2 linked regions of the Drosophila melanogaster genome follow. Changing the gene in region 1 together with any one later gene gives a genetic interaction. Each region holds a gene or a part of one and is shown on either strand. Other genes may lie near its edges. The genes, in order: Gprk2 and cta.

Evidence for each region.
Region 2: of Gprk2 (region 1) and cta, changing one suppresses a phenotype caused by changing the other (phenotypic suppression), as found in Drosophila melanogaster (one study listed by BioGRID).

What each region holds. Positions count from the first base shown.
Region 1 is NT_033777.3:31,403,114-31,408,281, reverse strand, and holds the start of Gprk2 (G protein-coupled receptor kinase 2), read right to left. Parts: upstream 3,038-5,168; 5' UTR 2,326-3,037; intron 1-2,325. Other genes in the region: PNPase (polynucleotide phosphorylase), read left to right, coding at 3,725-3,870, 3,927-4,346, 4,407-5,168. UniProt on the Drosophila melanogaster protein: Specifically phosphorylates the activated forms of G protein-coupled receptors. Required during oogenesis and embryogenesis; component of a signaling pathway that functions during egg chamber maturation.
Region 2 is NT_033779.5:22,980,047-22,985,007, forward strand, and holds the start of cta (concertina), read left to right. Parts: upstream 1-1,769; 5' UTR 1,770-2,151; coding exon 2,152-2,547; intron 2,548-4,961. UniProt on the Drosophila melanogaster protein: May play a role in a signal transduction pathway used during gastrulation. Required specifically for the ventral furrow and posterior midgut invaginations, where it is necessary for coordinating cell shape changes.

The sequences.
Region 1 (5,168 bases):
TTCCGACATATTCCGCAAAACTTTTCTCACATTTCACTCCAACTTTTCCCACACGCACAAGGAACTCGAACTGCAAGTTCTAATTGAATTTAGTTTTATTAGGGCACATGAAAGGAAAACACAGGGCCTGGAAAAATGGAAACATTGGGAGCGCTTTCAGTTTTCATTGGCTGCCAAAGGGTGAGGAAATCTGGTTTTCTTAAGGGCAAGGCAAATCCCATATTCTCAATCAAGGAAGGCAGGATTAATTAGATTGAACGAGAAGGGAACCTTAGAGCCTCTTTGTAAAGCCCAAAGTCACAAGAAAAACAGGCACCGAAGTTGGTAAGCCGATTTTGGACCAAAAACCAGCAAGTGAACAAAAGGCGGCGACCACAAAAAATTGATTTAAGCTGATTTTCGGGCCATTTGTGTTTTTCGTTTTCTGTTGTTTTTTTTTTTCTTCTAGAGACCAACAATATTGACCGACGACCACGCCCAGTTCGGGCGGCGTGAGGGGCGTGCGGCGCAATTAATATCAATTCCCGTTGGGCCATTAACACGAGCCAAAAACATATTGGCTAACAAGTGTCAAAGTCGCGCCAAATTAGCGCAGAAGGCGACGATGATGGCATGTGGGCGTGGTCGGGATTGGAATTGGAATTGGGAAGTTCAGTGGGCTGGGTCCAAGTGCTGGCAATGATATCCTGCCAAGGGAAGAGCAGCATGTGGCCAACCCTCCTTCGCGCTCGAACTGGCGTTCGTTGTTTGGGTCCTGCCCTCATTGATAATAATATTCGATTGGGTTTTATTTGCCCATGGGGTTGGCGCTGATGGTTTATTGTTGTCTGCACGGGGCCCAGGATACCCAGGATACACATGTTTCTGCCAATTGCCTACGTCATCCTGTCGGAATGGGTTGCGGGTTCTCGGGACTCACAGCTCGCAGCTCGCAACTCGAGTCGATAAACTGTGACGCAAGCCCTCGAAACATGGAAACAATAGTTGCGACCTGACAGTTGAAAAGGGCACCCCATGGGGTCACACATCAGAGATCTTGGACTTTAACAATCACCATCTGTGTACCAGAGTAGAGGTCTTCTGTGAATGGCACATTGACTCCCATCCGCCGATGAAAAGTGGAAACGTTTATCAGCTAAACGTCCAGCTCGTCTTAATTATGCAGCCGGCGAGGCGATTCTCAAACAATCAGAGACACCCGGCTGCCGATGACGTACCACAGAAAAAAGAACTCGAAATGCAGAAGCGATAAGGAAAGTACATCGGGACATTGCGAGGGTCGCCCTTGAAAAGCGGGGGAAAGTTACGCTTTTGGGGAAAAACTATTTTTAACGACTCGCATTTGTCAGCTGCAAATGGAAACGGGAATTTATTGCCAGGCAATCACGCTGATTTATGGTGATTTCAAAATGGTTTCACTAATTGGTTTGCGTTCTTTTCCAATGTTCGTGCTATAAAAATACAGATTTTGAGTTCGAGTACCGCAAATAGTTTTCTGTTAATTTTGGAAATAGGTTTCATGAATTATGGGGAATTTTCCTGTGCATCACATCTCTGATGTTATTCCGACATTTTGCATAAAACGTACAGTATTTTGGAAGTAGTGTGCAAGTGATTAATAAATAAATATCTTGAATTAATGTTTATATCAGCTCTGAAAACTTTACGTAAATATAAAATGTATGATTTTAGAAGTCAAAATAATCAGTGAACACGCATGGCAGTGAGTCATCACTATTGTGAATGCCCAATATATTTTTGTGTGAGCAATAGATGTTACTTCCGGATATCTTGGTAAATGCAAAAATAACAAGCTGACTTATGTCTACTAAGTCATTGATAAATTGTCAGAGGTTAACTAAAAAATAAACAAATTATTAATGATCCAACAATTCCACCGATTATCTCGATAACTTTTCATTTATTTACCAACCTGCCCTCTTTAGCGGGTCAAATGATGGACGGGAACAGCGAGACAATAAATAATGAGCTATAAATATTCATATAGTGCATTGTTGGGCTGATTGCTTGCATGTGTGCATCTGTGCATGGGTATTTATGCATTTAAAAAGCAAAGAAGGAGGACCTACTGATAAGCATTTCCCGATTGCTTTCACTTTTTAATCGATTGGCGTGGGGTGACAGGGATGGCGCGAGTCCTGCGGCATTAATGCAATTAATCGCCAGGAGAGACAAGGCCAACGTGTGTGTAATTTACAGTTACCGTTAAGTGCTTAAGTGCAAAGGAGGGGAACAGCCAGTGAGTTGTGACCACCGAGGAGCAGTAGAAAATAAGGTGATTTCAAGCTGATTAATGAGACTTACCTGTTTGTTTGATGTGCTATTTAAAGCTTCACTGTGAGTTTCGGCTGGTTGGAATTTTCGCAACAAATGTGTGGGTTCTGATAAGAAAGCGGGCGTTGATAAGACGCTTTTCCTTCTCTCTCTCTCTACCACTCCTTTCGCACACCACTGCAATTGCAGCATAAACAATTTGAAAGAACAAGAAGAAGCAGCGACACGCCTAGTGGGCAATTTTCCGGCCTTTTCGTTGGGAAATCTGCGTTTTTTTGGCTTTGCGCTCTTTTTTGACTTTGCCTTTTGGCTTTGCGCAAGAATACTCTTTGATTTTTTGTTTTTCTTTTCAATTTGACCGCATTTGTCGATTTTGGTTTTCTTTTCGGTTGTTGTTGCGGCTCTCACCAAAATTCACACACACAGGCGCGCTCTCACACATGCACAGATGGGCGGGCACACAGAACACACACACGCACACTACGACACACGCGGCGTTTCGTTGACGGAAAAGATACGAAAAATACGGCGTGAAATTCCCAGCTTTTTTCGAAAAGGCTCGCAAAACAAGGGCTCGACGCTCTTGCGGTTTTCCGGTTGGAGGAGTGGCTTTTCTAAGACGACACACGACGACGTTCGCAACTGGGCTTTCTGCAAGTGCCCAAAATTAACGATGGATCCGCGAATTGCCTGCTCGAAAAATATTGGAGTCTTCTGTAAGACCGTCGTTGAGTTAGTGAAAGACGTCTTCGACTCGCGGTAAAAAACTCTAAACGCGTAAAAAGACGGACTAATTTTGGCGGACTGTGTAGTGCTGATGCCTCAGCTATTTTCTAGCTAGCTTGAATTACTTAGATCTGGCGATTTGGACATCGTCGCGTCATTCTGTTGGTCGTTTTAGGACCTTTCAGAACATACCGTCTTAATTCTTCGTTTCTGAAAAGGAATTTAAATGCTGTTTCTTGCATGCTGTAACTAACATTGCTAAGAGTTGGCAGCACTGCAAATTTGACATTATCGGGGACACAAGCTAATAGTTCATTTTCTGGGAACCCTTCTAAATATCTTATTGGAAACGAAATTAATTTTTTTAAAATACGCTGTATTAATATTTACTACATTATTCCTAAGACATAATCCGTGTAATAGTTTGTCTATATAATTCATTTGTTGTTACCCTTGCCAGGTGGCAACGCCGAACGCACACATGTTGCACACTCTACTTTGTTTTAAATGGGCATTCTAGTTTTGAGATAACTGAATTAAACAATACAAATAGTTGAGGCGCTCTAAGTCTAACTTCCAAGTCTCAAGAAACGTACAGGGCTTTTATTGTAAGATTTTGACCACTAATTATTTCTTAAATAACCATGAAAATACAGCGTACAGAACTGTCGCCTCAGCCGGAATCACCCGGCACTTTTAGGTAATGGCCATGATTTTCACACGGAAATCGCTGAAGCTGCTCAACTATCGCCTCAAATGCCTAAGTTTGTCCTGCCCAGGAGGAAGGAGAGGAATCCAAAGCAGTTCCAACGGAGAAGCGCCCTCCGTGGAAGTCAACTTCAGCAATGGGTGAGTTCGTGGCCTCCACTCCGAGTTCCAATAGCAAAGTCTTGAATCCTCCGCAGACGTAACATGACCTTCAGTTCCGGCCGCCTGGCGAGATTTGCGAATGGAACAGCTGTGTGCCAAATGGGCGATACCGCCGTCATGGTCACCGCGGTGGCCAAGGCGAAGCCAAATCCCGGCCAGGGATTCATGCCTCTGGTGGTTGACTACCGACTGAAAAACGCCGCCTCTGGCAGAATACCCATGAACTTTATGCGCCGCGAACTGGGCCCCTCGGAAAAAGAGATCCTGTCCGCCCGCCTTATCGACCGTTCGCTACGCCCGCTCTTCCACAAAGATTATCGCACGGAGACACAGCTGGTGTGCAACATGTTGGCTATGGACGCGGTGCACAGTCCGGATGTGCTTGCAATCAATGCCGCTTCCATGGCGCTATCTCTAAGTGACATTCCCTGGAATGGACCCATTGGAGCTGTGCGGTGAGTACTCACGAACGAATCTAACTGGTAACCGCTTATAACTCTTTTAATCCTACAAAGCGTTGGCCTCTGCGACGGCGAGGTGCTGATCAACCCCACGCGCCGGGAGCTGCAGACTTCGCAACTGGATTTGGTAGTCTCCGCCACCAAACAAAACCTCGTCGTTATGTTGGAGGGCAAGGGGAATGTGGTTCTTCAGCAGGACCTTCTAAAGGCTATCAAACAAGGGACTCGTGAGGCCCAATTCATTATCCACGAGATCGAGCGACTGCAGAAGGCCTATGGTCGACAGAAGCGCGAAGTGGAAGTGGCTGCCGAAGTAGATCCCGAACTGGGGAAAGCCGTTCGTAGCATGTGCGAAATGCGGCTGAGAGAGATCTTCCAGGATTCGACGCACGACAAGATGTCTCGTGACAATGCGGTTAACGAGGTGCGCTCCAACGTTATTGACAAGGTGTGGAGTTCGTTTCCGGATACCGAACCGTCGCTTATTACCGAGCAGTTCAACCAGACCAGTAGAACCATTTTTCGCGAACTGATCTTTGAGCGGGGTCTGCGTTGCGATGGACGAGATTACGACCAGCTGAGGAACATCTCCTGCCAGGTGGACATGTACAAGCCTCTCCACGGATCCGCCCTATTCCAGCGCGGTCAGACGCAGGTCTTCTGCACGGTTAGCTTGGACTCGCAGGAAAGCGCAATGAAACTTGACTCGTTGGCTGCTTTAGATAGCGGTGGCCTGAAGGCCAAGAACTTTATGCTGCACTATGAGTTCCCGCCCTATGCCACGGGTGAAGTGGGTCGGATTGGTCCAGTGGGTCG
Region 2 (4,961 bases), on another chromosome or scaffold:
AGGTGACCACAAAAGTGGTTGAGTCGTTGACTTTAGAACCATTGGTATTAATTCAGTTTTTCTTTTTCTTTCTTTTTTTTCAGCTTTGTAGATCTGAAGGCTGTTTGAAACCCCAATGTGCATAGGCAGGGTGAGGTCAAGTTGCTTGATGTAGTCAGCGCAACGTGTTAGAGTGGATATGCATTAAAAATTCAGCTTTTGCTTGAAAATGGCTCCGAAGTCATGGGTTAGCAGGCAGTTGGACGTGGTGTACAGCTTCGAGATTAGCATCAATGTAGTTTCTTCTACGCGGAATTCCGCCAAGTTATCCAACCCATAATATAAACTCTGCCCATTTGATAAGCAAATTTCACACTCCAATCTCAACAGCATTGCCTTTGCCCTTGTTTTTGTCGCCAACACTTAGCCTGCTTTTGTCCTTGTATTGTCGCCAACACTTAGCCTGCCGCAGATTGGAAGACGGTAGTCAATTTTAAATAGCATTAATGCGTGCGTAATCGTAATATCTATGAGAGTCTTAGTTATATGTACGAATATTTAGATGATAGAAATTTAATAATGTGAAATCTAGTTTCCAGTTGTTTTCTTTGAATCTGACAGTGCTGTTTGAAAAGTAGTTTGCAGTCGAAGGTCATCCCCAAATTTTTTAAAAAGTTTACATCATTTATTGTGCGGAGAGATTACAACGTTTTTTCCGTCAAATTATAATAGTTGGCATTTTTCAATGGCAGAGAGGTATTTTCGTGCAATATTTCTAAAAATTTTGTGCTGACTGTATGAATATTTTTTATTTTTGTAAAGTGAGATGTAAATATATTTTTGCCGAGTTACAATGTTATTTATTTCTTCAATTGCAATCATAAATAAAACCGCAGAAATTGGCGAACCTTGCGGAATTACATTGTGTAAAATGTTTGAATTCGATGTGACATTGTTTATTCGAACCCTGGTAGTTCCGCCGTCCAGGGCGGCCATGCTGCACCCCGGGCTATAAGACGGATGCAAAGTACAGTACGCTGTCATCAAGTCTGATCACCGCTTCCGAAATAAAGCCTTCTGCCCAGCTCTCTTAAACAATATTAAGCTTAGCTTTAATTAGTTGACAGCCTTACAAAGAATCTAAACGAATTCCAAAAATCTTAAACACAGGTGGCGAGCACGCAAAACGGAATAAATATTTATTTATTTATTTCTCTATGTAAGCTAATGGCCATGATATTAAGATTAAGATATAAAAATATTTTTTGAATCTTACCTAGCTTTAGTGTATTGGATCAACCTAATATCGAAATAAAACAGAATGCGAATTAAACCAATCAATGCTACTGTATCCATAGCAAAAGTTAAAAATGTTTTTTTTTTTTTAATTTTCATCCCATACAGGTCATCCTATAAGGGAACGTGCCCTCTCCAAAAGTCACTTCATTAAAATAAAGTTTTAATTTTAAAGAAATATTCTACAACCAATTTTTTTATTAATGTTATTGTAACTGATTTGTTTTGTTCCCAATTAAAGAATAATATTTTCTTCTCATTTTCTTTTTATCTTATATGCTTTAAAATTTAAAATTAAATTATAAATTACATTCCTGGTAAACCCGATATAATAATTTGTTTTTAATAATTCTTTACACTAAAGAGCTGGACCTGTTGCTTATAATATTGTCAAATTGGTTCACATATGGAACCAATTTCACCGAAAAACTGATCTGTGGGAACATGGTATAACAAAGTTGACACGAATGTTTATGTTTTATATACAGGCAAAAATTATTATCACCGCTGTTGTTTGCTCCATATATAATTACAATTATATTCCTAAAGAAACGTAAATGTAATGGCTGAGAGTGTCATAACCTAATAACGATCACGTTCAGTGTCTTATTGGTGTGAACTTTATTCCGGAATTTGTGTTGCGTTTAAGTCTGATGCCATGTAGAAATAATGGTTATGGCTTTCAGATGGCAACATCGCCTTTTAATCTAATATGAGGCCTACAATTAGAATATGCAGAATTCAAAAAGTGTTTGTTTATAAATTAAAGCGAAAGCAAGACGATGAGCATCTGCTGTTAGTGTGGGGAGTGTTTGACGTATTGGTGTTCGTGTGTGTATATAGAAAGTGCGAGCATCAGGCGTTGGCTTGCCAGCGATGTCTGGCATTACATTGACCAAATTAACTCAAGAACGAATTTCCATTCCAAACAACAATGTCATCACGAACGGCGTCGAAAACAACATAGATAGTGACACGCTTAGTGGTACTCTGACTCATCTTATGGAAGAGCATCGCACGCGGGTGGGAGCGGTAACTGGACCAGAAGCAGCGACCACGTCTACAGACGGCCTAATATCGAATGGAGCAGAGCGACTGCGACTTCAGGGCAGTCGGCTTCAGACCTCGCGCTTTGCTTGCTTTCGATGTTGCGGAAATATTATCACATATCTAGTAAGGCTGCGTAGTACCCCTGAGGAACTGGAGCAGCGCTACAAGTCCAAAGAGATTGATAAGTTCCTGGAAAAAGAAAAACACACCTTTCGACGTCAGGTAAGGTGATTTAGGGATATCGATTTCTAACCCTTGCTGTTGGTTATTTTATTTAAATGTTAACAACGAAGTAAAGGAGATATTCGACAAATTAAAGTCTATGTACAATGGCGGAAAAATTATAATGTGTTTAAAATGTAATTTCTGTACAATGTTATAAGCATATATTTAATTTAAAAAGTTACGTTTTTTTGCTAACAATTCTAGAATTATACGTATGTGTTCTTAATTAACAGGACTAGGCAAGTCGGTCGAGTAGTATATATGTACATACATACATACATACATACAACAAGCGCTATATATTTGTAACCGAAAAATATAAAAACAAGAGAAATCCTATAGTTGTGAGCTCCGCAAGTATAAGATACACGCTACTTAGGTAATGGAAGACTTCCTACTTCTTGAGGCCCGTCCCGTCTCGAGCACGAAACCTAGTCCCAAAAAAAGCCCGGGGCCCTGCCCAAGCTAAACACGAACAAATTAAAAAATAAAAACAATGCAATTTTTTTTAATTTAAAGTATGTCGGTTTTCTTATATTTATATTTCTTATATTTTGTAAACAAAGTTGATTGCAAAAAACTTAATATTTAGTACAGTTTTGGTGTTTTAAACATAATTTATGACAAGTTTTTATTTAAAAATATTTTTTTTTTTAAATTAGAACATTTTAAACGTGTACATCGCTCATTTAATACAATTCCAGAGGTAGAAAATAATCTTTTGCTATTCGCTGAGCTTGCCGGAATGGCAATTCAATAACTTGAGTTCACTACATTTCCAAAATTCTAACACATTTTGGTCTGAAGTAGCTGCACAGCCATTTAAATATTTTTCTATTTCAATATCATAAGAATTTAGTTGTAACTAAGTTTTTTTGAAAAATTTTTAATCCTGAAATTCTGCAAACAGTCCTAACCCCTTTTTATCTGGGCTTGCAGTTCTTAATCCTATAAAACTCCTCATCACTTTGCATTTCTGAAAGCATTGCTTTGACAGTTACAATTACATTCTCCTTAACTTTTGGCGATAAGCAACACATTTCCTTAACGGGAGAATTTAAGAAGAGTCCAACATAATGTGCCGTTTATGGTGCACATCTTTTATGTAAAGAATTTAACGTATTATTTTTCAGCTGAATTATGGTTTCAGAATCGAGCATTTCACTGGCGCACATCTTTAATACTTTCTCCGATCACAAACAAAATAGATTTATCGATATTAGAATCCAAACTGTATTCTTCCATAATTTCCTTAACGTTATTGAGGATGTTCTCGCCTGTTAGATTGTGACAAACAAGTTTAACTTTCGGTTCTGCCTGCGGGCTTTTTTCTTAGGGCACGAAAGACGAATTTGAGGCCCGAACCCAATTTTTTTGGCAAAGGCCCGCGGGCCTTGAAATAAAGCCCGGCCCGCGCTGCATCATCATTTAAAAAACATTATAATGGTCCACATTACAAAATTTTTGCCAGGCACAGTCTATCAAATACTTTTGCAAAACGGACTTAATTGTTATAGGCATTTTTTAAAATAAATCTCCATTCAAGAACAACATTTTGTTTTTTATAAGCATGCAGAGTTTTTTTCAATGACTTGTTCAAGGGTAATAGTTTCTTGTTCACAGAAAGGGTAAGGAGTTTACTTTGGGTGAGTCAGGGAATGTTTTTAAATGTCTTGTTTTTGAAAAAACAATTGAAGATATTTCATGGAATTTCTTCACCGGCCCCAACCAGGTCTAATTTTCTACTTTGACGTGTTAGTCGATTTTTCTCGGAAACGAACAAGGTTTTAGACCGATAATTCGGTTATGAGCATAACACAAACTTTTGCACATATATTTTGTTAATCCATTCATAAAACAAATTAACAATATAAATCTTGCTCCATCTCTTATATTTCGTGCAATGGAAAGAAGAGGTTTGGACAAGAGGCTAGTTTGATTAGAAACGGTCGGACAAGCATGAATATTTCGATTCGCTTGTTCATATTGATGAATAATATACATATGTACACTGCGCCTCACCAGGTTAGCGCACCTTGAGTAAAAATCTTTGATGTGAGACATTTAGAAAACTGCTTAAGCGAAAGTTTTTGAAATTTTTTCCCTTAAAAGTTGTAAAATTTCATAAATGAAAAGTTTATATGGGATGCAGTTTGTTGTTTATAGATTTTTGTTGAAATAAAAAAGAAAAACAAAAACACCAGAAAAAAAACATCAGGATAGCGCCCCTATGACAATTTAGGTTTTTTTTTATTAATTTCGAAAAAAGTTAGATGATTATCACTTAAATGTTTAAAATCTAATATTTTTAAAGAAAACTAATAATTAGTTGCTTCTCCTTTGTTTTCAAGGACTTCACACATTCGTCTGGGAAGTGAATCATATATTTTTTCTAGGTAATCCAAAGTAAT